Linked DNA regions of Caenorhabditis elegans. The protein of the gene in region 3 purifies or fractionates together with the protein of the main gene of each other region. This does not show direct contact. Each region holds a gene or a part of one and is shown on either strand. Other genes may lie near its edges.

The links. Proteins that work in one complex are often made in the same cells at the same time.
Region 1: the proteins of sir-2.2 (region 3) and mccc-1 purify together in Caenorhabditis elegans (affinity purification with western blotting, with the first as the bait; one study listed by BioGRID). This does not show direct contact.
Region 2: the proteins of sir-2.2 (region 3) and pcca-1 purify together in Caenorhabditis elegans (affinity purification with western blotting, with the first as the bait; one study listed by BioGRID). This does not show direct contact.

Annotation. Positions count from the first base shown.
Region 1 is NC_003282.8:9,881,439-9,888,904, forward strand, and holds mccc-1 (Methylcrotonoyl-CoA carboxylase subunit alpha, mitochondrial), read left to right. Parts: upstream 1-3,131; coding exon 3,132-3,323; intron 3,324-3,371; coding exon 3,372-3,684; intron 3,685-3,731; coding exon 3,732-4,019; intron 4,020-4,069; coding exon 4,070-4,240; intron 4,241-4,291; coding exon 4,292-4,539; intron 4,540-4,584; coding exon 4,585-4,912; intron 4,913-4,958; coding exon 4,959-5,143; intron 5,144-5,191; coding exon 5,192-5,335; intron 5,336-5,380; coding exon 5,381-5,527; 3' UTR 5,528-5,707; downstream 5,708-7,466. Other genes in the region: Nuclear hormone receptor family member nhr-4, read left to right, coding at 1-21, 382-513; prp-18 (Pre-mRNA-splicing factor 18), read right to left, coding at 763-849, 899-1,085, 1,733-1,850, 1,900-2,013, 2,060-2,174, 2,221-2,345, 2,390-2,534, 2,676-2,843; ttbk-3 (non-specific serine/threonine protein kinase), read right to left, coding at 5,752-6,117, 6,165-6,305, 6,350-6,500, 6,923-7,221.
Region 2 is NC_003284.9:7,655,753-7,664,352, reverse strand, and holds pcca-1 (Propionyl-CoA carboxylase alpha chain, mitochondrial), read left to right. Parts: upstream 1-3,366; 5' UTR 3,367-3,374; coding exon 3,375-3,451; intron 3,452-3,503; coding exon 3,504-3,598; intron 3,599-3,648; coding exon 3,649-3,848; intron 3,849-4,589; coding exon 4,590-5,240; intron 5,241-5,287; coding exon 5,288-5,575; intron 5,576-5,630; coding exon 5,631-6,335; intron 6,336-6,389; coding exon 6,390-6,548; 3' UTR 6,549-6,841; downstream 6,842-8,600. Other genes in the region: dhs-29 (NADP-retinol dehydrogenase), read left to right, coding at 1-95, 827-933, 984-1,071, 1,117-1,295, 1,779-1,947, 2,040-2,212, 2,255-2,357; F27D9.12 (RING-type domain-containing protein), read left to right, coding at 7,389-7,515, 7,822-7,937. UniProt on the Caenorhabditis elegans protein: This is one of the 2 subunits of the biotin-dependent propionyl-CoA carboxylase (PCC), a mitochondrial enzyme involved in the catabolism of odd chain fatty acids, branched-chain amino acids isoleucine, threonine, methionine, and valine and other metabolites.
Region 3 is NC_003284.9:13,324,919-13,332,756, forward strand, and holds sir-2.2 (NAD-dependent protein deacylase sir-2.2), read left to right. Parts: upstream 1-3,431; coding exon 3,432-3,444; intron 3,445-4,343; coding exon 4,344-4,472; intron 4,473-4,515; coding exon 4,516-4,624; intron 4,625-4,841; coding exon 4,842-4,982; intron 4,983-5,025; coding exon 5,026-5,106; intron 5,107-5,565; coding exon 5,566-5,680; intron 5,681-5,726; coding exon 5,727-5,909; intron 5,910-6,070; coding exon 6,071-6,184; downstream 6,185-7,838. Other genes in the region: F46G10.2 (ILCR1 Ig-like domain-containing protein), read left to right, coding at 26-124, 430-501, 544-645, 1,010-1,232, 1,275-1,462, 1,510-1,884, 2,444-2,530; NAD-dependent protein deacylase sir-2.3, read left to right, coding at 7,098-7,224, 7,277-7,379, 7,574-7,714, 7,759-7,838. UniProt on the Caenorhabditis elegans protein: NAD-dependent protein deacylase. Catalyzes the NAD-dependent hydrolysis of acyl groups from lysine residues. Plays a role in oxidative stress resistance.

The sequences.
Region 1 (7,466 bases), on a different chromosome or scaffold from region 3:
ATTATGCTTTCCGCAATTACGGTATGTTTTTAGAACACATATTATTCGATTTTTTGCCAAATTACGGCACCGGGTCTCGACGCGACAATATTTTGTTTAATAGAAATAGGTGTACGCCTTTAAAGAGTACTGTAATTTCAAACTTCCGTCGCTGCAGAATTTTCTTCAGTTTTTAATAGTTCTTACACAATTTTTTTAATGTTAAAAAATGCCAAAATAAAAATCTTCTTAACCGAAAACTATGAAAAATCGGAAATAATCCACATCAACGAAAATTTCAAATTACAGTACTCTTTAAAGACGCACACCCATTTGTATTTTACAAAAAAAACGTGTCGAGACCTTTTTTGTCGCATGACTCATAATATTTTGAATTTTCAGAGTTTGACACATTTAATGAATGAAGGAGTTCATGTGACGTCACTTTTCAATATAATTGAATTTGACGAACTAATCCAAGCAACTCATAAGACGACTCCACCTCAACATTCTCCTCCAGCTCCAATGGGTTAATGTGTTAATTTCGGTTTTTGGATTCTACCTCTTTGATCTCGTTTCATATCAGAACTTGACTGTTTCATTATTTGAATGGATTATTTCTTGAAACATCCGTATATATCTTATTGAACATTTTGACGCTGTGATATCCTGTACCATAGATAAATATGTATATAATCGTTGTGTATTGCAAAAGAAAATAAATTCCTTTTTTTTAACTTATAAATAATTAAACAACAATTGAACAAGATAAATAATGAGAATTCAAACAGCCTTTTTAACAAATTCGACACTTTTCGATGGATCCGTTGGAAAATATTCTTGCATTTTGGTCATCAGTCGTTTGAACGCCTATAATGTTTAAAAGTTGAGATTTTCAAAAGAATATGGAAATTCTAACCTGAATGTACTTTCTCTGAGTTTCATCATTCAGTACGTGAGCAATATTACTGACATATGATTTTGCAGATCCAGGACGTTGATGAATACCAGAACGAGTTACTCCAACTGGCCAAGGTGCATTTCCGATGGCCATTTCCATATAGGCATTATTTGCTTCCAAATAATTTCTATCAATTACTAGCAATCTGAAATATATATTAAACAACCGAAAATAAAGAAAATTTAAGAATTTTTTCATACACATTGCAGTTTAATTTTTGATTTTTTTTTGGTATAGTATTTGAATTTCTGAAAATCTCAAAAATTCGATAAACAGAGAAAGGTTTTAGTGAAAAAATAAATGTTTTAAATATATGATTATACTTTTATTATTCAAACGCGGAATTTCGAAAAAAATTTTTTAAATGTCTCTAATTTTGAATACCTATGTACCTATTAAATTTTTACGAGTTCTTTCCATCAAATTTCATGCCAATTTACCGAGTTTTCTCTTTTCGTGTAAGTTTTTTTTTTTTGAAAAATGGTTTTTTCGTGTCAATTGAATATTTTATTTTCTCAAAATTCGCAGATCCGCTTATTTTCACATCACAATTGGACAGAAATCCAACTCTGGAATTTTCATGATAATAAAATGCTTAATTGGCACGGAATCAAATTTGGAGCCATTTTAAAACTCCATATTTAAATTAGTTTTTTTTTTGCTCAGCTACATTTGAAAACCCCGGAAATTTCCAATTACAAGATAATTTTCGCATTTTGAATAAAATTAGTTTATTTTTTAAGTGAATTTCGATGAAAATTATAATGTTGAATCAAAAAATAACCTACTAACCTACAAATCTTGGCCAAATGATGCCGAATATCATTATTACAGTTGTATCTTTCCATTGAAGTCATTAAACTTTTAAGATGCATCATTGTTTGCTTGTGATGGGCTGCTTCATGCATACCTATTGAAAATATAAACATTTAATACACTTTTTTTTTAATTTATTGTACCTTGTGCTGTCTTTTTTACATCCAGTGGCCTATCGTTCAGATCCTTAGCCCATCTTGCGAGTATATAACGGCAAATTGAAAGAATAATATCACAATCTCGTTTCAAATCGTCATCTATAAAAAGTAATATAGTTTCGAGAAATTATTTCAAATCTCATACCGACGCTCAAAAGAGTTGAATTATGTTCGATATTTTTCCAATTATCTTCTTCATATCCTTGTGGAAGAGCAATATCATGTCGTGTTGCACTATCAGCTGTACCTTCAACCACTGCCTGCAATATTTCATTTCATGAAATTTGAATTAATGTTATTTTTAACCTTATCCATTTCTTTTCCGATAACTTTCATTGCTGTTTGTAATTCATTTTCCCATCCTTCATTGAGATCAGGTTGAGCAAGTTCTAACTGATGAAGGCGTTTACGCACATCAATATCAGTTTCACCTGAAAATTAATTTTTTTAAATACGATTTTGGAAAATGCCAAACCGAAAAGCATAATTGGGTGATTTCGCTGGCGAAGACGTGTTTGAATTTCCGACATTGGTGTTTTTTCATCAATCTCTGATTCGTTTTCCACGGGCGCGGGTTTAGTTCGACTGGATGATTCTTGAAGTATCTCGTCGTCAACTTTCTAAATGATGTCTTTTATAATGATTTACTATATGATAATTTAATTGCAAATATTATTCAGCAATACCTAATCCTTCTTTATTAGTGTCAGAAAATTTTATAAGACAAATTCCTACAACGAAGTTTTTAAAAGAAAACTTACTCGTTTCTTACTAGCTATTTCCTGCTGTTTTCTTTCGTATTCCTGATTTCTTTTCATTTCTAAATCAGCGCCTTTGACAAACTTTGCGTTTCCTTCTTTTACTTCCATTCCAGACACGGCTTTTCGTTTTTTTGCCATTTCAGCAAGTAGTTTTGCTTTGAAATCCATTATCTGAAGAAATAATAATAGAAGCATTGATTTAAAATAAAGTAAAAAAAGAAACTAACGGAATAAAGGAAAAAATGGAAACCGGATGAAAATCGTCAATTTAAGATTTTTATTCGAAAATGAAGAAAATAGAGAGACAGAAAATGAGAGACGCAGACAGCGCAATGCAAACACGCTCGATTGAGAAAAGTTTATTTTATTGCTGAAACATGCTCCACATCCGCTTTCTGCTCTTTTTCTTGATATCTTTTTAATTGAGACATCTTCCCAATATGTTTTTATTTTCAGATGCTTGGTGTATTCCAAAAACGATGTGCCTCAACTGCCCCTCTAATTCGTCCCATTCAACGGGTTTTAGTTGCAAATCGTGGAGAAATCGCCATTCGCGTCCAAAATACCGCTCGTAAAATGGGAATTGAGACAGTTGCTGTTTTTTCTGACGCAGACCGTAATTCCCTCTTTGTTAAAAAAGCTGACAAGGTAAGAATCCATAGTATTCGTGAAGTGTTAAACTGAATTTAATGTCAGGCATACCACATCGGCCCTCCTCTTGCAGCGGAAAGTTATCTGAATATGGACAAAATTATCAACAGTGCATTGCGATCTGGAGCACAAGCTATTCACCCAGGATACGGTTTCCTATCTGAAAATGCTGGATTCGCTGAAAAATGTGCTCAGGCCGGCCTTGTTTTTATTGGACCACCAGCCCAAGCTATCAGGGATATGGGAGCCAAGAATGTATCGAAGCAAATCATGGAAGATGCTAAAGTTCCTGTAGTAAAAGGATTCCACGGAGAAGATCAATCAGATGCTAATTTGAAAAAGAAATCAGCAGAAATCGGTAATTTTTTAAAGTATAGCCCCACATAAATTTATTTAAAATTTCAGGCTACCCGGTTATGCTGAAGGCTGTCTATGGTGGAGGTGGAAAAGGAATGAGAATTGCGTGGAACGAGGCTGAATTCGAAGAAAAACTGGCTTCAGCTCGTAACGAAGCTAAGAAGTCGTTTGGAAACGATGAAATGCTCGTGGAAAAGTTTGTCGAGAAGCCGAGACACGTTGAAGTACAAGTTTTCGGAGATCACCATGGAAACTATGTTCATTTATGGGAAAGAGATTGCTCCGTTCAAAGACGTCATCAGAAAATTATTGAAGAAGCACCAGCGCCAAATATGGGTAAGTCAGTCTCGTGAAAAAGTTTTAAATGAGATTTAATGTTTTTGCAGAACATGATACTCGTGTAAAACTCGGAGAATCAGCTGTTCGTGCTGCGGCGGCTGTGGGATATGTTGGAGCAGGTACCGTCGAGTTCATCATGGACCCGCGTGGCGAATTCTACTTTATGGAAATGAACACTCGGCTTCAAGTCGAACATCCCGTCAGTGAAGCTATCACAGGTATAGATTTTATAATGGGAGATTGGAAATTATCAAATAATTTGATTTCAGGCACGGATCTTGTTGAATGGCAATTACGGGTAGCTCAAGGAGAGAAGCTTCCACTGAAACAATCAGAAATTCCATTAAACGGTCATGCATTTGAATGTCGTGTGTATGCCGAGGATACTCGTAAAGGAGCATTCATGCCAACTGCGGGACGTCTTAATTATGTTGACTTCCCGGAAGATGCTAGAATCGATACAGGAGTTGTTTCTGGAGACGAAGTATCAATCCATTACGATCCTATGATTGCTAAGGTAAGTATTTCAGAACAGCTTCTAAACAATCATCTCCTTTTCTAGGTGGTAGTGTGGGGCCAGGATCGTGCTGTTGCTGCTGCAAAATTGGAAAGTGCTTTGGCTCGTACAAGAATCTCAGGGCTACCCACAAACATTGACTTTGTCCGCAGAGTTCTTGCTCATCCTGAATTTGCCGCAGGAAATGTTTATACCGATTTTATCCCTGATCACCAGAAGGAACTATTTGCTGAATCTGAAACTCCTGCTGAAATTTACGTTGAGTCGGCTGTAGCACATGCTTTGGCTGCCCTTCAAAAATCAGATGCAGGTGTCTTCCAGAATTTATCTTTCTTTAGAATGAATTTGTCACCAAAATACATTTTCAAAATAGGTAACGCGTTTAGTTTGATAAAGAAAAATAAATAGCTTAAATTCAGACGGAAAAGATGTCAGCATTAGATTTGATTCTGATAGTCGCCTGACAGTGTCTTATGATGGCAACAGTTATGAAACACTTCTCAACGACATTGAATCAACCACAGACGGATCTTTCAAGTTTACATTGGAAGCTAATGGCAGGCGCTGGAGTACTGTCGTTAAAAATCTAGGAAATAGTTTGATGGTAAGTTTGTGTCTCAACAAATCATAGTTTTGAAAAGTTAACTTTAAGGTGAATGGAGTTGGTCAAAACGAATATGAAACTCCACAAATCCATGAAACATTTGATTCGTTATCCGGAGGAGCAGCCAGTCATTCTGCCGTCGCACCAATGCCAGGAATTATTGAAAAAATTCTTGTGAAGCCTGGAGAGCAGGTATGTACAAGTACATGCCGAAAAATTAAATAACTCAAAGTTTAGGTAACTACAGGCCAAGCACTCGTAGTGATGACAGCAATGAAAATGGAATACATCATTCGTGCCCCGGAAGACTCAACTGTTGAACACATTAAGTGCCAGGCAGGCAAAAATGTTCCAAAAAATGCAGTTTTGGTTCAATTCGCATAGGCATTACCTTTATTTTTGGTTTTTTCTCTTAGGTTTTATAGCTATATCCGGTATTTTCAGAGCTTTTCAATTTTTCTTACAACACCCTTTGACAGTTTCAAGTGTAATTAATTTTGAGTACGGTTGTGCAGCTCAGATATTTTTTATGTGCCTTTACCTAGAAATAAAATTATGTGAATATATTCAATCAATCGTTCATTCGGAAAAGCTCAAGTATATTCCAATTATTTTGGAGATGAATTGAAAGTTCCTTCTCTTTTACGGATCAATTTCTGGGCATCTCTCAATACATCATTCCTGTCCTTATGAAGCTCAGACATATTCACTTCCGCATCCTTTTCATCACTGTTGGCACCTTCAGTCGTCAAATACTTCAGAGCGACATTCTCAATATCATCTAAACGATCTCTTCTATCATTCTCTATTTGTTGTTCCATGTAGTTCTTAGCTTCAAATTGCTGCTTGTTGCGATCATTAAGCTTCAATCGTAACATCCTTTGTCTGTATCTTTCTCTTGCTTTTTCCCAACGATATGCATATTCGTTCATTTTTTCTTCATTTTTTCCAGTCTGTTCTTCATTTTTTCCAGTCTGAACAATTTTCAACAATATGGTTGATTTGTATTTTGAACACTTACAAGTCTAAATTCATAGCTCAACATCATTTTACTGCCTTTTTGATTTTTGCTTGCAGATTGGAACACATCAACGTCAGGATTTTTCCATTCACTGGCCAGCTTTGAACATTTTTCCGGATTATTGATTTTAACTTCATCAATCTGGAAATAAACATCTCAAAGCCTTACGATCTTTATCTACAAACCGCGAAAAATTCTCCAGTCACTTCTTCCCATTCTCCTGTGAATCGTTCTTCAAGATCATCTTCAGAAAGTTCCACCTCTTCAAATGTGTACTTTGAAGTCGGTGTATCTTCTGATAACGATTGAATTCCTTTGAGGATATTGAACATCATACTGAATATGAAATATTTATCAATGAAGAATTTTCAGTAGTTTCAAGCTGTATAAACTTTTAAAAAAGTATCCATGTAAAAATATAATTTATTATTCGATTATTCAAACTGTCCACTGTCAACAGTGTTACTCCCGAGATGAATACGGTAGCCGGTCTCGACACGACTTTTGTTGTTAAATGCGAATAGGTACGAAGAGTACTGTAAAGTAAAATTTTCATTGCTGCGAAATTTTCACATTAAAAAAAGGGAACACATAAATTTCAACAAATAGAGAAAAAATATGAAAATTCGAAGAAAAATTGCGCACACAATTACTCAATTTTTCGTGTCGAGACCGGGTACCGTATTTTCGACACAAAAAAGGAAAAATCTAATGTTTAGCTAATATTAGAAAAGTAAAAGTTGAAACTGGAAACCTACTGATAGTTTGGTCTTTGCAAGGCTCTACACTCAAGCAGATGCTCGAAAAATCTCTCCATCGTTTTTGGCATTTTCATCAGAGCCACACCCATATTCATTTTTTGTCGTGCGAGAATCATATGATCTTTCACTCCATGCCATGGAAGACGATCATTCAAATCAACCAATGTGAACAGAAGTGACCATAGATCATCTTTTCGGCCAAGTTTGTATCCCAGATGAGCATTTGAAGATGTAAAGTTCAGAGATCCACGGAATTGCACCTTGGTACGAAGTGGGCGAGCATAGAAGGCTTTTTCCTGGATATAAATCATGGATCTGTAGGAAGAGGCTAGCGCCGACAGCCGAAAAAATCAGCCAGCCGCACAACCCTTGTGCCTACTTGTGCGATTGTCTGTTTACGTGTCTAACAACCTACGTACCTACCTGCTTACCTCCTCTACGCGCCTACCTGTCTAGCAAGAAGATGCCAGATAAACTGAGAAAATACGGTAAATATCACAACTATTTTAAGTCAAAATTATCAAAAAAATATCGAAAACTC
Region 2 (8,600 bases), 5.7 Mb from region 3:
GTAATGCTGCAATCTTATCCTTCACATCATTCATGGAGATTTCGGATGAGCTGCTCAGAAAGTGTCTTGACGTTAACATTTTTGGTACAATTAATGTAAGTTTGCTTAAGATGAAAATTTTAAAATATAAACAAAGTATCAATACTTATAGTTAGCATTTTAAAAATATGGTGAGAAAATAACAAAAAATGAAATCGATATTGTTTTAAGGAGCAGTATTAAAGCAAAATTGTTTTTCTGGCATGAAACGCAAAGTTTCATAACAAGGATGCTAAAAAACCTAAATTTTTTATGGTAAATCAAAATAACAAAGAAGTATCGAATGAGCTCAGATTCAGTTTTTTTTTTTTCAATAAACACGTTCTTGTGCTTTTATAATATTAGTCATTTTAAACGCTTCAACATGACTCTGATATGTCCGAAAGTTTTTTAGACGTAGCAAATTTAGTGTCAGTTTTTTCGGGGTATTTTCAGTCAATTAAAGCAAACATTTAATAACTTTAATCCGTTTGTTCTATGTTTATTATTTGAACTTCCTAAAACTTTCCTAAAACTTAAAACTAGTCAAAAAATTTTTTTTGAGAACTTAAAAAATTGAAAAACAAAAAAAATATATATTTTCGACAGACCAAATGAGTTTAATTGAACTTTATTTGTGTTTCAAAACATACTTCAATAAACAAATCAAGATATTATTCTTTGTACTCGTTGAAAAACATTTACGTATCAGAACATGTTTGGAGTCGAAGTTTGGTTTTTTATAAAATTTGGTACGGACACTGAATTAGTACCACGTGTTTTCTATTTTTAATTTTTATCGTATCAGACAATTCGAGCTTTCCTCCCAAAAATGGAAACCAAGAACGACGGACACATTGTTTGCGTTTGCTCAATTGCTGGGTGGTCTGGTGAAACGATGGGACTTTCTTACTGGTAATTTAATGTTCCAAAGTTTTTGTTTTAAACTTTAACAGTTACTTCAGCACTAGCAAATTTGCGGTTCGCGGAGCTATGGAATCCTTACAAATGGAGCTCAGAGATCGCGGATTAGAGGGTATCAAAACAACTACGGTTGGTTGTTGCTAAATTATTGGCTAGAGATATTCTCGTTTTCAGCTCTACCCATATTTTGCAAGAACCCCAATGATTTTGGAAAATAATATGAGACCTACATGTACATGGTTCCCGTTCATGAGCATTCGGTCTTGCTCGAAAAGAATGGTAGATTCTATTTTGAAAGAAAAAGTGCACGCTTTTGTTCCCTCGTACATCACACTCATCCCTTTTGTGAAAAAGTAAGTTTCTCGGTTTCGTTATTTTGGTTTCCATGGTGAATTTTTATTAAGAACATTTGTTTTGAATTGTAGATGAAATCGGCATATTTAAAAATAATTAAAGTACTTTTTAAGTGTCAATATTCATGTGCTACTTATTAAAATGGCGAAAAATTAAAAATCAATGCCCTGTTTTCGCGTCTTATTATTATTTTTTTGAGAACTGTACAACTTTTCGTATTCGCAAAAAGAGCTGCCCGAATTGTTTTTCTGTCTGCGTCTAGTTTGTCTTTACACGCTCTATTATTGAGGTCACCATTGGTGTCCTTATTGATTCAGATAGTATCTCCTCTATTACACGAAGACACCCCTTCTTCTATCGTTTGAGAGAATCAAAAAAAAAAGAAACCAACTATTCATCTCCACTTACTTTTTGATTCTCGTACACTATGTAGAATATAGCCAACTAATGATAACATGATAAAATCTAATTTTTTATTTCAGTTTCTGCTCTCTTCAAGTGTGCCGGTCGCTTCGTAATTATTTGGGTGTTAAGTATTCCGCTTCAGATCCATCATTTTGCAAACTGACACTTATTGAAATGTCGGACTATTACAAAACTCCACAACTCTTCTGGTGGCTCCTCATTGTTCCAGCTCTGGCTATCAACTACGTAAGTTTTAAGGTTTCAAGTGAAAAAAAACTATGTTTGATAAAAATAGATATTTCAAAGCTTCCACTTCGATCTATATCTTTGATTTTTAGATTTCTTACGCCCATCCAGCAGCAGCACTTAATATTCCATTAATTGGATCTCTCGTCCATAAGATTGGAACTGAGTATCCATTTGTTGCTCTTTTAACCAACCTTTTCGCCCTTGTAGCACACGCCGGTGAAGCTCTTTACGCTCTTTATCTCTGCCATAAAGCCAATATCAGGTGAACTTTTTCAGTTGATTTTATAACAAATTGTATTTTCAGTTTTGCTTCTACCGCAAAATGGGTTGTCCAAACGTTTATTCTTGGTTTCCCGTCACTCTCTATTCTCAGTCGATACGAAGCCAAGCAGAGGAAGAATAATTGACTAGTAGTTGAAAATGTGTCTGATAGTTCCTAAAATGTATTAATTTTGTTTTTTTTTGCCAATGCAATGAACGACCATTTATTATCAAATAAAATGAAGAAACTCAACGAAACATTCTCAAATAAACAACATGTCGAGAGAAAGGCCAGTGTGTGCAAAGACGCAGAGAAGATCACTGCAAACGCGCTCCGTTGAGGTTGCTGTGTGAGATATCTTGGACAACCCCGCGCATTATTGGACTGTTTTTTGTTGTTTTATTGATCATGTAGTGGTCAATGAGCAGGTCATTCTTGCCTTCGCTGTTGCCAGAGAAGGTCGGCTTTTTTCTTCCCTGTTTTTGGTGATTTTGCCGTTTTTTTTTGTGTATTGAGTGTACTTACTGTGTGAGTCTTTAGATTTTCCGTTTCACGCATACACGTTTTTTGTAAAATTATTAGTTTTTGTAGGACTCTCGGTTCAAAAATTATAGAAAACGTGCAGACTGGACTATGAATTATATTCGAAGTTCTTCATTGTAACATTGTGAGGTCGTCTTTCCAACTCTCAACCTATCCCGGTGATTTTCTCGGTTTCTCTGCGTGTGTGTGTTCAGAGGACGAATACGTGCAAAATCGCAAGAAATGGGCAAAGAGAGAGAGCGGGGCAACTGCGCTTTGGGTCCATCAGAAAAGAGAGATAGACAACTTTTGTGAAAATCTTGTTGCGGGACAAGGGCACCGCACTTCTTGCTTTTCTCTTTTCTGGCCAGGCTATTTACTTCGTTGCTCAGTTGCCATTTCTGCATGTTTTTCTTATTTTTTCTACTAGTCGAAGTTTTCCTTCATAATCAATATAAAGAGAGTTTTCAAGGCATCGCTGTTTATCACTTAACTGACCAAATCAAATCGGTCGTCCTTATCTTTCTCCATCGAAGTTATACACGAAACTGTTTTTCTCCATCATCTTACTTTTTTCTTTTGTGAACTGCTGATGTCGTTGTTCATTTTATCATGAAAATCATTGTTTTTAGGTTGAACCATGCTCCGTGCTGCATCCAGTATCCGCGCTGTGGCCAATCGTGGATTGGCAACTGCTGCTGTTGCCAGACCAGGAGTGTAAGTTTCTGAAAGTTGTATTCGGTTTTGAGATCAATAGGTTCAATTTCAGACCACTTGATGAACGTGAGGGAAAGGAGATTTACACTACTGTAGGAATCGATTACAATGAGCCAAAGTTCGACAAGATTTTGATTGCCAATAGAGGTAATCTCAAGCATCTAAAAGAATCTTAGATTTAATCGTCTATTTTACAGGAGAGATTGCGTGTCGCGTGATCAAAACTGCCAGAGCTATGGGAATCAAGACAGTGGCCGTTCACTCAGATGTCGACAGCAACTCGCTTCACGTAAAGATGGCCGATGAGGCTGTATGTGTTGGAGAAGCTCCAACTGCCAAATCCTACCTACGTGCTGACCGCATCTTGCAAGCTGTCGAGGACACCGGTGCTCAAGCGGTAAGAATTCTAACGTGTCTATGTAATGGAAGGATAAACCGCAAAAATCAAATATCAGAGGAGAATGTAAATTCTGTGGCATGAATCTACATGCACAGTAGCACAAACATATTACCCAGACATCCGACAGAGAATAGAGTTTTTGCAAAAGTTCAGAACACCGCTCCAAATCAACTACTACTGTTCAAGAAGTCAGAGCGTTCGCGCTTAACTTCAAACGGAGAGAATAGCTTAAAAAAGTTGCTGACTGAAAAAATGTGAAATAAAACATTCCCTACATTTTGATAATGCTCAATTTTTTCATGCTCATATCACCTGGCTGAGATATGAGGGTTTGAAGTGATGAAGCTCTAGAGTTCCCTCTTATGGCCTGTTGAAAACTGTGGTGAGGTCAAATTATGAAAAGCACGAATTACCGCATTTTTCAGAGGACAAGCTAGGGTCAAACAGTTTGACAACCCGAGCGAGAGCTTTTGGCTGTGTAGCAGCTTAAGATTTACCGTAATATATTAGAAACCAGTTACTTGTAATATGCACGTGATATTCACCTACTTTCACTACGAAACACAACAAAACAAAAATTCTGTGACAAGTGACCAAGTGGTCTCTTTCCAGTCTCTAGCATCTCGCGTGTTTCATTTTCAAATAGTCAAAGTCAAATGACGAGAGATAGATTGCAAGTGTCTTCTGTTATGTTTTTCAAACAGAACTGCTAAAAACGTTGAAAACATATATTTGCAGGTTCATCCAGGATATGGATTCCTTTCCGAGAACACCAAGTTTGCCGCCGAGCTTGAGAAGGCTGGAGCCAAGTTCATCGGACCAAACTCTAAGGCTATTCTTGATATGGGAGACAAGATTCATTCAAAGAAAATCGCTACCGCAGCCCGTGTCAGCATGATTCCAGGATATGACGGAGAAATTGCTGATGAGGATATGTGCGTGAAAGTCTCCCGCGACATTGGATACCCAGTCATGATCAAGGCTTCTGCCGGTGGTGGTGGAAAAGGAATGCGAGTTGCCTGGAACGACAAGCAAGCTCGTGAAGGATACCGTTTGTCCAAGCAAGAAGCAGCTTCTTCTTTCGGAGATGATCGAATGCTCGTTGAGAAGTTCATTGACAACCCACGGCACATTGAGATGCAGGTGCTCTGCGACAAGCATGGAAACGCTTTGTGGCTCAACGAGCGTGAATGCTCCATTCAGAGAAGAAACCAGAAGGTTATCGAAGAGGCTCCAAGCAGCTTTGTGCCACCAGAGATGAGACGCAAAATGGGAGAACAGGCCGTTCAGCTCGCCAAGGCTGTCGGTTATGACTCTGCTGGAACCGTCGAATTCCTCGTTGATTCTCAGAGAAACTTCTACTTCTTGGAGATGAACACTCGTCTTCAGGTAATATCTCAGTATGGCCTAAATGTTTAATTTTTAAATACTCACAGGTCGAGCATCCAATTACCGAGTGCATCACTGGAATCGATATTGTCCAACAGATGCTTCGCGTTTCCTACGGTCACCCACTTCCAATCACCCAAGAGCAAGTGCCACTCAACGGATGGGCTTTCGAGTCTCGTGTCTACGCCGAGGATCCATACAAGGGATTCGGTCTTCCATCAGTCGGACGTCTCTCCAGATATGTTGAGCCAAAACACGTCGACGGAGTTCGTTGCGACTCTGGAATCCGTGAGGGATCGGAAATCTCTATCTACTACGATCCACTTATCTGCAAGGTAAAGGATAAATTAGCATTTAGATAATTTCAAGTGACTTACTTTGTAATTTCAGCTCGTTACGCACGGAGACAACCGTGAACAGGCTCTGAACCGCATGCAAGAGGCTCTCGACAACTACGTCATTCGTGGAGTCACTCACAACATTCCACTTCTTCGTGATATTGTCCAAGAGAAGAGATTCCGTACTGGAGACATTACCACCAAATATCTTCCAGAAGTGTACCCAGAAGGCTTCCAGGGAACCAGCCTCTCACCAAAAGAGCAAGACGTTGTCATTGCCTTTGCCTCGGCTCTCAACGCTCGTAAACTTGCTCGTGCCAATCAATTCTTGAACCAGAACAAACAACGTAGCACTCATGTGGCTTCCTTCTCGAAGACCTACAAGTTCGTGTCTTCTCTGCCAGTGAAGGAGGGTGAGAGGCCAACCGAGCACGCTGTTGAAGTCGAATTTGTCGAAGGAAGCGCCAACAAGGCCCAAGTTCGTATTGGTGGAAAGACTGTGACTATCAGTGGAGATCTCAACTTGTCTCATCCAGTCAACTCAATTGAAGTCGATGGAGAGCACATCACCACCCAAATTGTTGGCAAGCGCGCCGGAGAGATCACCGTTCTTTACAAGGGAACTCCATTCAAGGTCAAGGTGCTTCCAGAGCAGGCCGTCAAGTACTTGCAGTACATGAAGGAGAAGGCCAAGGTTGACTTGTCCACAGTTGTGCTCTCACCAATGCCAGGAGCAATCAAGAACGTCAACGTTAAGGTAACATTATTTTATCACTACCATTAGATGTGCTAAAACTGATTCAATTTACAGCCAGGAGATATGGTTTCCGAGGGACAAGAGTTAGTTGTCATGGAGGCTATGAAGATGCAGAACAGTCTTCATGCTGGAAAGACCGGACGCGTCAAGGCCGTCAATGTGAAGGTTGGAGCCACAGTCGACGAGGGAGAGGTGCTCGTTGAGCTCGAGTAGATTATTCTCACTGAACCTGAATTTTTTTTGTTGTTTTAATTACCGTTTTTTTCCTAATTTTGTACAATTCAAAGCCGCCACTATCTGGTATGGAGATTGATAATTTCATTCGCAGTTTCTCAAATTTCAAGCCATATTTATATTTTATTTTTGATGCCATTACCCTCACCTGTTGTATTCCAATCATCACGGACGTATTTCTCAGCCACCACCCTGTTTTGTTGCCCCAAGTATTATGTAGTGAATAAATATTGTAGAAGGCATTGCAAAAAGGTTGTTATATGAAGAAAAAAAAGCATTTGCTCATTTTTTGAACTTTTCAATTAGAAAATTATATATCTATTCTGTTTCTACATAACATAAGTGCAGATGTTTTGTTGATTAAATTTTCTATTTTTTGTGAAATAGCTTGTGTAAACTAAACATTTTACCATAGTCCATAATTGAAGCTCGGAAATAAGCGTTGTGAAAAAACTTGTCAGTTTGCAAATCTGTTTTAAAAATTTCAGATTTCTCTTTTTTATGTTCTTCTTTCATGTATCTCAATTTCAAAATATTGAATAGCAGTGCCAATTGATTATTCTGAAAGAAAATTGACAAAAAGACGAGTTGAGACGAGAAGATGAAACAGAAAATGATGGGAAGAAGAAAAAGAAGAATTTTTCTTCCAGTTTTTTTTGCCGTTTTCTGTTCTTTTCAATCTCATTTTAACTCACGTTTTTTGGTTTCGTGTGAGTAGTGTCACACTGATATTGTTAAATTCTGTTAACTTCTAGTTGAGAAAATAAATAATGTCAATATTTTAATAAAACTTACTTGTAGCACTTTCAGATCTGTAAGATGTCTAGTATCGGTATAAGTAGATACGAAGACGGGGAAGAGAACTGTTGCACAGCCTGCCTTGAATTTATGCATGAACGGAGGAGCCCACCATCATGCGAACACAATTGTGTTGCATGTTTTTATTGTAAGTATAGATTTGATTTTTTTTTGAGTTGAAGCTTGATTATCAATAAAACGAAGTGCTAGTTGAAGTTTTAAACAGTTTAAATCTAACTTTTTCGAAAAAGTGGGTGAGACCCGTCCCTTTCCAATATGTGTTAAATTGATTTCAAATTAAAAAGAGAAGTTTGTTGTATTATAGTATTTAGTCTTGTTATTTTTTTAAAGATGAAAATAGGATCAACAAATGAAAAGGGTTTTGTCATGACTCAGTATGTTCTACACTCTAACCCAAATTGTTTTATATGATGAATGCTTGTTTTGTTTTCAGTATTAATTGCTCGACGAACCAATTGTTTGATTTGCAACGTGACAATATACGAGATTGAGCGCATCTTCAAAGATTTGAGGAGCAGGGTGAATATTGAAGCTAATAGAATGAATTGACTGTAATTGAAAATGAAAATGTGTTCTTATATGTGCATCTTCTGTGTATCACTGTTTTAATACAATAATACAGATTTTTCTGTCACGTGGAATTCTATACTTGAAGAGAAAAGCTAAACGGTGGACTTTGTTGAAACTATTTTGAGCTAAATATCGTATTCAAAATCGTAGGGAGTTCTTCTTTCACATATTATCCTTGCATTACTAAATCAGAACTCCCAAAATTGAAGTTCTCGTGAACGTCTGTTCCATTCAAGTTGTTTCGTACTAGTCAGAAACATAAAACTATTGTCGGAGCCCAAAAGGATTTTTGTTGTTGTAGGAGGCGGTACCATGAACGAAGGTACCACCTTTGTAAACTTTCAGCTATATATTTCAGACTTTAACATCAAAAATTACGTAATAATTTGTTTATGTTTGTTTTTTTTTAACTATTTACATTTCAACATTTTATCATTATGGAATTTGTAAGCCCTAAGAAACTTTTCATCATTCATTATTCTCCATCAGCTGATCCATTTTCCTGGCAGCTGAAAAGAAAATGTTGTGGTCAAAGGGGGCCTGCGTTGAAATTCGCCGACGCAATTTAATAAACATTGATTATTGCACAACCCTTCCATCGCCTTTCGTTTTCATTCTGTTCAGCGGAACGAAGCCAAACTG
Region 3 (7,838 bases):
TATCGTTTCATTTTTCTATTTTCAGCTATCCTGGAAAGCTGCTCCACAATTTCTGTGCGTGAAAACTTATGAAGTAATTTTACAAAACCGTGATGGTCGAATTATCAACACATCTGAAGTCAAGGTGAGTCAGAATGCAGTTCAAAAAACCAAGAACTTTTCTAATCATCTTGGTCATGACTATCACGAGGATTGACAACGATATGTAGACAATTGTGACAGAAATCAAAAACTGAAGCTAATTTATTTTCATAACTAATCAAAGCTTTGCAAAAGATGAAACGAAAAAAAAATCAAACGCGAAAAGAACAGATAGACTGGGAGAACCCGTTCGATAGTACATTGATGACAGTTCTAGAAAATCATAAATTATTTTTGGACTTTGATAATTACATATTAAACACAAATCATGATTCGAATCGTTTTTAGGTCAACCTTGGGCAGAAGATCGCAAACGCAACATTCCATGGGATTGAGAGAAATCAAATGGTTCAAGTCAAGGTAATAAGATAAATATTTGTTGTAGGCAATTTATAATTTTAGGTTCGCGGGAAAAATGCGATTGATGGCGGATGTGCATGCGTCAATTGCAATTGTATTACAGATAAGACAAAGTTCTTCGTTATACCAAGCCTTGCAAAAGTGGTGAGTACAAAATGAGGGACGGTGTAAATACCTAACATGATTTGTTTTATGTAAAAAATAGAACAATGGTAGAGTTTTGAGAAACTTTGTGGGGTGAAAGTGAACGCCATTTCGCTAAAAAACTACAAAACTATTTTTTAAAAACTATTTAAAAAATTATATCAATAAAAACTATAAAAACTTTAAAATAAGACTATAAAATGTTTTGCAAATATTCGTAGAACTAGAAAATTATAAAAAGTTTACTCGCTATTAGTTTCAAAAAAGTTTACTTCCAAAAACGTCTACCTCGTGAATCAATTGAAAAATCAATTAAAAGTTCCTTACTTCAGAGTCACTCTGACAATGATCAAATTTTTTTCAGACTCCACCGGCACCCACTTCGCCTACTGCAGTTCATCATGAAACGCTTATACTCTCCCCTCTCCAGATTTTCTTTATTTTTACCGGAGTAGTTTCGTTGCTTCTTTTATTGGCGTTCGGATGGCTATGCTGCAACAAATATCGCAAAACAATCTTCAAACAGAAAATTGCGTTTAGTGCGCTCAAATCGTCACAGTATCCAAACAGAAAAACGAAACCAAAGAGTAAGAGATTCTAGTGGGATAATTTTAAAATTATGTTTTCAGAAGCGTTCAAAGTGATGCTAGTATGTCCCGAGGTGTCCGGTCGTGATGAAGACTTCATGATGCGTATTGCCGATGCACTGAAAAAATCTAATAACAAAGTCGTTTGCGACAGATGGTTTGAAGACTCGAAAAACGCAGAAGAAAATATGTTGCATTGGGTTTACGAACAAACAAAAATTGCTGAAAAGGTACAAAAAATTCGGCGTAATGCACACCACGTTTTTCTCATTTTCAGATCATCGTTTTTCATTCTGCATACTACCATCCACGGTGTGGTATCTATGACGTCATTAACAACTTCTTCCCGTGTACCGATCCGCGATTGGCTCACATTGCTCTCACTCCAGAAGCACAGCGAAGTGTGCCGAAAGAAGTTGAATACGTATTGCCTCGTGATCAGAAACTTCTAGAAGATGCATTTGATATCACTATCGCTGATCCACTTGTCATAGATATTCCTATCGAGGACGTGGCAATTCCAGAAAATGTGCCCATTCATCATGAGAGCTGTGACAGCATTGACAGTAGAAATAACTCAAAGACGCATAGTACAGACTCGGGTGTCTCATCATTGTCAAGTAATAGCTCACATTCAGGAGGAGATAATGAGGTCAGTAAGAGAAAAAATGTAAATGGTTAATTAACAGGAAACTTCATTTTCTAATAAATAGAATCACGATCCGAGTGTGCCTTTTTCATTTCATATCCAAAAATTTAGCAAAAAATGTAGATTAAAATTTAGTTTTTATCAGGCGCTTCGTTGTAAAAACAAAGTGTAACATCCCATCAAAAAGTGATAACTTTACCGCAATTTCTCGTGTTCAAACCCAGAAAAGACATTCTTATTGCACATGGCCGCTGAAGAAAGCCTAAGAAGATATGTAGAGTCCAATACTAGTCGTTCGGTGTTTTGTAAGTCTAGAAGAAATAATACAGAATTTTGTAGGAATAAAAAAATTTTACTCCAAAACTTTACATACTTTTCATACTTTTGATATAACTTACAATTAGAGGATTTCAAAAAAAAAATAATTTGAAAGCAAATGAATATAACTAGTACTTAAAGAATGCAGAATTTCAATTGAAGTTGCTAAAATCTAGGTTTGTCACTCATTCAAACAGACTTTGGTTATATGCACATCACGTTTCATAAACATTTACAATTTCAGACTCTGACAAGTGGTATGCCAACTCATTTGAGAGATCTAAACATCGAAGCCCATCCTCTACTTCGACAGCCCGTAGAAGTTGTGTAGCACATTTTGAACATGTGAGCCTGTACAAAAGCCATAATACTTCTCAACTACTATCATCGTCATCTCTCCGTCACCAATGATCTCTACTCAAAACGGTTATGGACGGTTTTTTTGCATAAGGATTCAACTAGCCCTACACGATTGCTTTGATCTCTGTACATTTTTGCGTTTAATATGGATATTTGCTTTTTAATGGATTTTCGATCTTCTACTTTTATTGTTGATTTTTCTGGTTTTGTGGGGGTTGTGTACAAATTTTGTTTATTTGTTGTCGGTAACCACGGGTACCATATTATGTGAATCGTTTATCATCGTATTAAATCATGTATACATGCATTGTACAGAGTTTTTGAATATAATAAATGAACATGACGTCATTTGCACCTACTTTGTGCTTTTGAACTTTCACTGTTTCAGATATTTTTTATTTATGAAAAAAGGTATCTATGAACAAGCTTTTCAATACATTATAACTTTGTTGTATCTGGTCTGATCCTCAATATTTTTGAGTCTTCAAAAGAAACAATTATAAATTGCAATACATCTCAACACTGTTTTATGGCGTCTCAAATTTTGAAAAAAAAAATTATTTTATAAAAATTGATTTGCAGCAGACATGTTGAAAACGGTGCTTTTCTTTTAAATTATTTTTGTTGTGATAATGTAATTAACTACAACTTTACATAAATTGAACTGAATATACGGGTCATTCATTTTTACAAACCTTATCTATTCTATCAATACCATGACTTTTTTCGCGAAAAGTCAGCCGACATGACATGACTCTTATCTCTTTTTTTTTTGTTAATTCTTTTTTTGTTGCGACAAATTAGTGTCAAAAAACGTGAACCCATTCGATCACATAACATTTTGAACTTCAAGAAAATCACACAATCGATAAATGATGAAGTATGGTAAGTCAAAATTTTCTAATATTCCAACTGATTAATAGTTAGTGTGTTTGAGTTTTACTTTTTCAAATTAATGTTTACATTAAAACAACTATAACAATCCTCAATTGAAATATTGTACACGAAATAAAAATCAAAACATATGTATGAACATATTTCTCTTATCTTTTTGTATTCTGTCAAAGGGGTCTAATTTTTTTGACCATTTTTTTGTCAGTTAGAACCAAATAAAATCATGCCGCATGTCTGTGAAAAATCACCTTATTCTTTCTCTTTGAGATTGATAAAAACGTTCTGTAGGTTTTCCAAAATGTTAACTAAAAAATCAAATTTAAGCCGTCGGTATAGTATTACAGGCTAGGTATAGGATGCTCGGATAATATTAATTTTAAAAATTCGAAAATGCATCATACATAAAACTTTTTAATACAAAATATAGATGTTTTCTTTTTATTTATTTATTAATATAACGTATCTATATAATTTTCAATTAAGCAATAAATATTTTTGAAGATTTGAGGATAAAACTAAGCAAATTCTAAAACTGCAATGTTCAATGAAATTGCGTTATTCAGTGTTACCTATAAAGATTTTTCAAAACGTTACTCTCTTATTCTTCTCCCATTCACGTGTTGCACTTTCTGCCAGCCGCCTTCTCGGAGAAACTAGGAAATATCTGTGACTTTCTCTAGCCACTCTCTACTCTCTCGTCAGTGCAAATAGAGCGCGAATGCTTTAAAATGACGCATCAATCACTCTGTCGGTCATTTGATTTTACACTTTTCACTGATAGCTTAAAGCTCGGAAGCGGAACTATAGTGAAACATTTTATAAATTACGATTTAGATTTTTTTGAATTCTGTATCATGCTGCCTAATTTTTAATAATTTGAATATTTTTAGGCATGGCTCAAAAGTTTGTACCGGAGGCCGCCGAGCTCTGTGAAAATTCCTTGAAAAAGTTCATATCTTTGATTGGAACAGTGGACAAGCTGCTTGTCATCTCTGGAGCAGGAATATCTACAGAATCTGGTAATCTTTCATAGTTCCGATACTCAATCGTCTAAAATTTTAGTTCCAGGTATCCCAGATTACCGCTCGAAAGATGTGGGGCTGTACGCAAGAATTGCACACAAGCCAATTTATTTTCAAGATTACATGAGGTCCAACCGTTGTAGACAAAGGTGAGGTTATGCTTGGAAAAAAGTGAAAAAAGTAAAGCTGGTTAAGAAAAAAATGTTTTCCCGTTACGATTTTTCTACTCAACAGAAATGTTTTACAAGTACATCATCAAAATAGTCCGGGCTTTTTTTTTTAAATATATCTTATTCATGGTATAATTTATGCTAGCTGAGCCTTCAAAAAATATAAAATTTCAAAACAATAATTTCATATTTTCAGATACTGGTCTCGCAATTTTTTAGCCTGGCCGAGATTTGGTCAAGCTGCTCCTAACATCAATCACTACGCACTATCGAAATGGGAAGCTTCCGATAGATTCCAATGGTTAATCACACAAAACGTGGATGGGCTTCACTTAAAGTAAAGACGGTCAAAAATGAGTTAAAATTTTTTTTTAATTCAGAGCGGGCTCAAAAATGGTAACGGAACTTCATGGCAGTGCTCTTCAAGTAAAATGTACAACATGTGATTACATTGAATCAAGGTACATTGGACTGAATCAACTCAATTATGGAAAAAAAAAAACAATTTCTCAATGAGGAATTGTTTGATAAAAGCTAAAACAAATGATGATTTACTAAAATTGAACAATCACATGTAGCGTAGAAAAAAGGATTGTTATACATATTTGGATTTAAAAAAAACGAAAAGATAACATTTTAACTAAAATGTTGAAACTTCCTCTAAAATGTATCGGTGAACTTCCTTATAACATATTTTAATTAACGTACATTCTTCCTAATTGATAATGTTTGATCATTGTAACTTCATTGACTTTTCGATTTCACTCCACTTCCTGAATGTGTGGAATGGCAGACAATCTAAGAGAGTATGGACGCCTCTTAATGTATCTAATAGGCCACTTCACATTTCGGTTTGTGAACGTAAAAATAACCGTTTATTTTATAAGGGATCTCATAAAATTAAAACGTTTCAACTTCAGACAAACGTACCAAGACCGACTTGATTACGCAAATCCTGGGTTTAAAGAAGAACACGTGGCTCCAGGAGAGCTGGCGCCAGATGGTGACATTATTCTACCGTTGGGAACTGAGAAAGTAAGTGTTTTACGGTGGAATAAGTCGAAAAATACAGTGTTTTCAGGGTTTCCAAATTCCCGAGTGCCCAAGTTGTGGGGGACTTATGAAGACAGATGTCACGTTTTTTGGAGAGAACGTTAACATGGACAAAGTCAATTTTTGTTACGAGAAAGTGAATGAATGTGATGGGATTTTATCACTTGGCACGTCGTTGGCGGTGTTATCTGGATTTCGGTTTATCCATCATGTAAGGCTAATGGGATTTACTGGATGACTTTTTTGGTTATCTAAAAACAAAAACGTTTTGATGTTTCCGTGGGTAGCACAAAAATTAACTATTTAAAAAAATTTCAAACAACTTTTTTAGATTGTTAAGAGTCCTTCAAAAATAAAAATGTAAACTTTCAGGCTAACATGAAGAAGAAACCAATTTTCATAGTCAATATAGGACCTACAAGAGCTGATCACATGGCGACGATGAAGTTAGATTATAAAATCTCTGACGTTTTAAAAGAAATGTAGACTAAGACGTGTAGTTTTGGAATTTGATAATATTGTGTTGACGACAGTTTTTTGGGTACTTTCCGTTTGTATTTTGAAACTTTTTTTTATTGTTTGAATAGAATGGCAATTTGTTTCATGTTAATTGGAATAAACAATTTTTGATGAATATGATTGTGAAAATGCGTTATTTTCAGAAAAAAAATCATCTACTCCTGCAAAAAAAGTAACAAAATTGGCAAAACAAAATCCTGGAATTAGGAGATAGACTCAAATATTTTACCAAACAGCTTTTCTATATTATGAGAATATAATCACTTTTTGTTCATCAAGGATAACTTGCTTAGTTCTTTTTTAAAGTTTATGATTCTTCTTTAGTAGTAGTTTTTTTTTTTAAATCAAGATTCCCAATGGGATGATCATTTTAAACATCGCACCATATTGCTTTGATGACATGATTTAAACTATTTCAACACCTTCGTAAGGTTAGATTTTTATTATCAATTTTGTCAAATATTTTATTTCCTCATTAAACAATTATTTTTAAAACCTTGCTATCAAAAAAATTGTGGACTTTGTTCTGTACCTAGATAATCTTCCAGCTGTTGGTTGGTCTCCCATTATTCTTTCATTTTCGGCGGACCCGCACTCTCTGCCGGCGTTTTCCTTGGCAATACAGGAAGAGGTTACTGGATTTCTCTACTCTACTCTCTCGCCTGTGCAAATAGAGCGCGATTCATCCAAAGATATATTTTTAAGGGTTTTTTGAATGAACGTGATTCAACACAATTAGCTGTAAGATCCGGACTCGAAACTCTTGTGAATAATTTTTCAATAACGTTTATGAATAAAATTAAAAAAAAAACTGTTCTTATTGTTCTTCATTATTTTCACTTGTTTTGACAATCAATTCATCTTCGACAGTATTTTAGGAATGGCACGAAAGTATGTACCACATACGACAGAGCTTTGTGAAAACTCCCTAAAAAAGTTTAAGTCACTGGTAGGGACTGTGGATAAGCTTCTCATCATCACTGGAGCAGGAATTTCTACAGAATCAGGTTTTTTTTCAGGTACAGGTACAATCAGGTACAATATAGTTTTCATTTTCAGGAATACCAGATTATCGATCGAAAGATGTCGGATTGTACACAAAGACTGCACTTGAACCAATTTATTTCCAGGATTTTATGAAATCAAAGAAATGTAGGCAGAGGTGAGAGTACTTTTGAAATTTGTTGGGCCTTACTCTTGCAATTGTGATATTTCAATTTATAAAAACTTTGTGCCAAAGACTTTGAAAAAAGGCTCATAACTGCTCTCACGTATTAATATCATTACAATTTTATAGGTTTTATGATTCAGTAACACATTTTCTTTTTGGCATGCTTAATTATCTTTTGTCTTCAGATACTGGTCTCGTAGCTACTTGAATTGGCCAAGATTTGCTCAAGCTTTACCTAACTTCAATCATTACGCCTTATCAAAATGGGAAGCTGCTAACAAATTTCATTGGTTGATCACACAAAATGTGGATGGACTTCACTTAAAGTAAGTGAAGTTAACAAAATGAAAATATTAAAATAAAAGTTAAGAGCGGGCTCGAAAATGATAACGGAACTTCATGGCAACGCTCTTCAAGTAAAATGCACATCATGTGAATACATCGAGACAA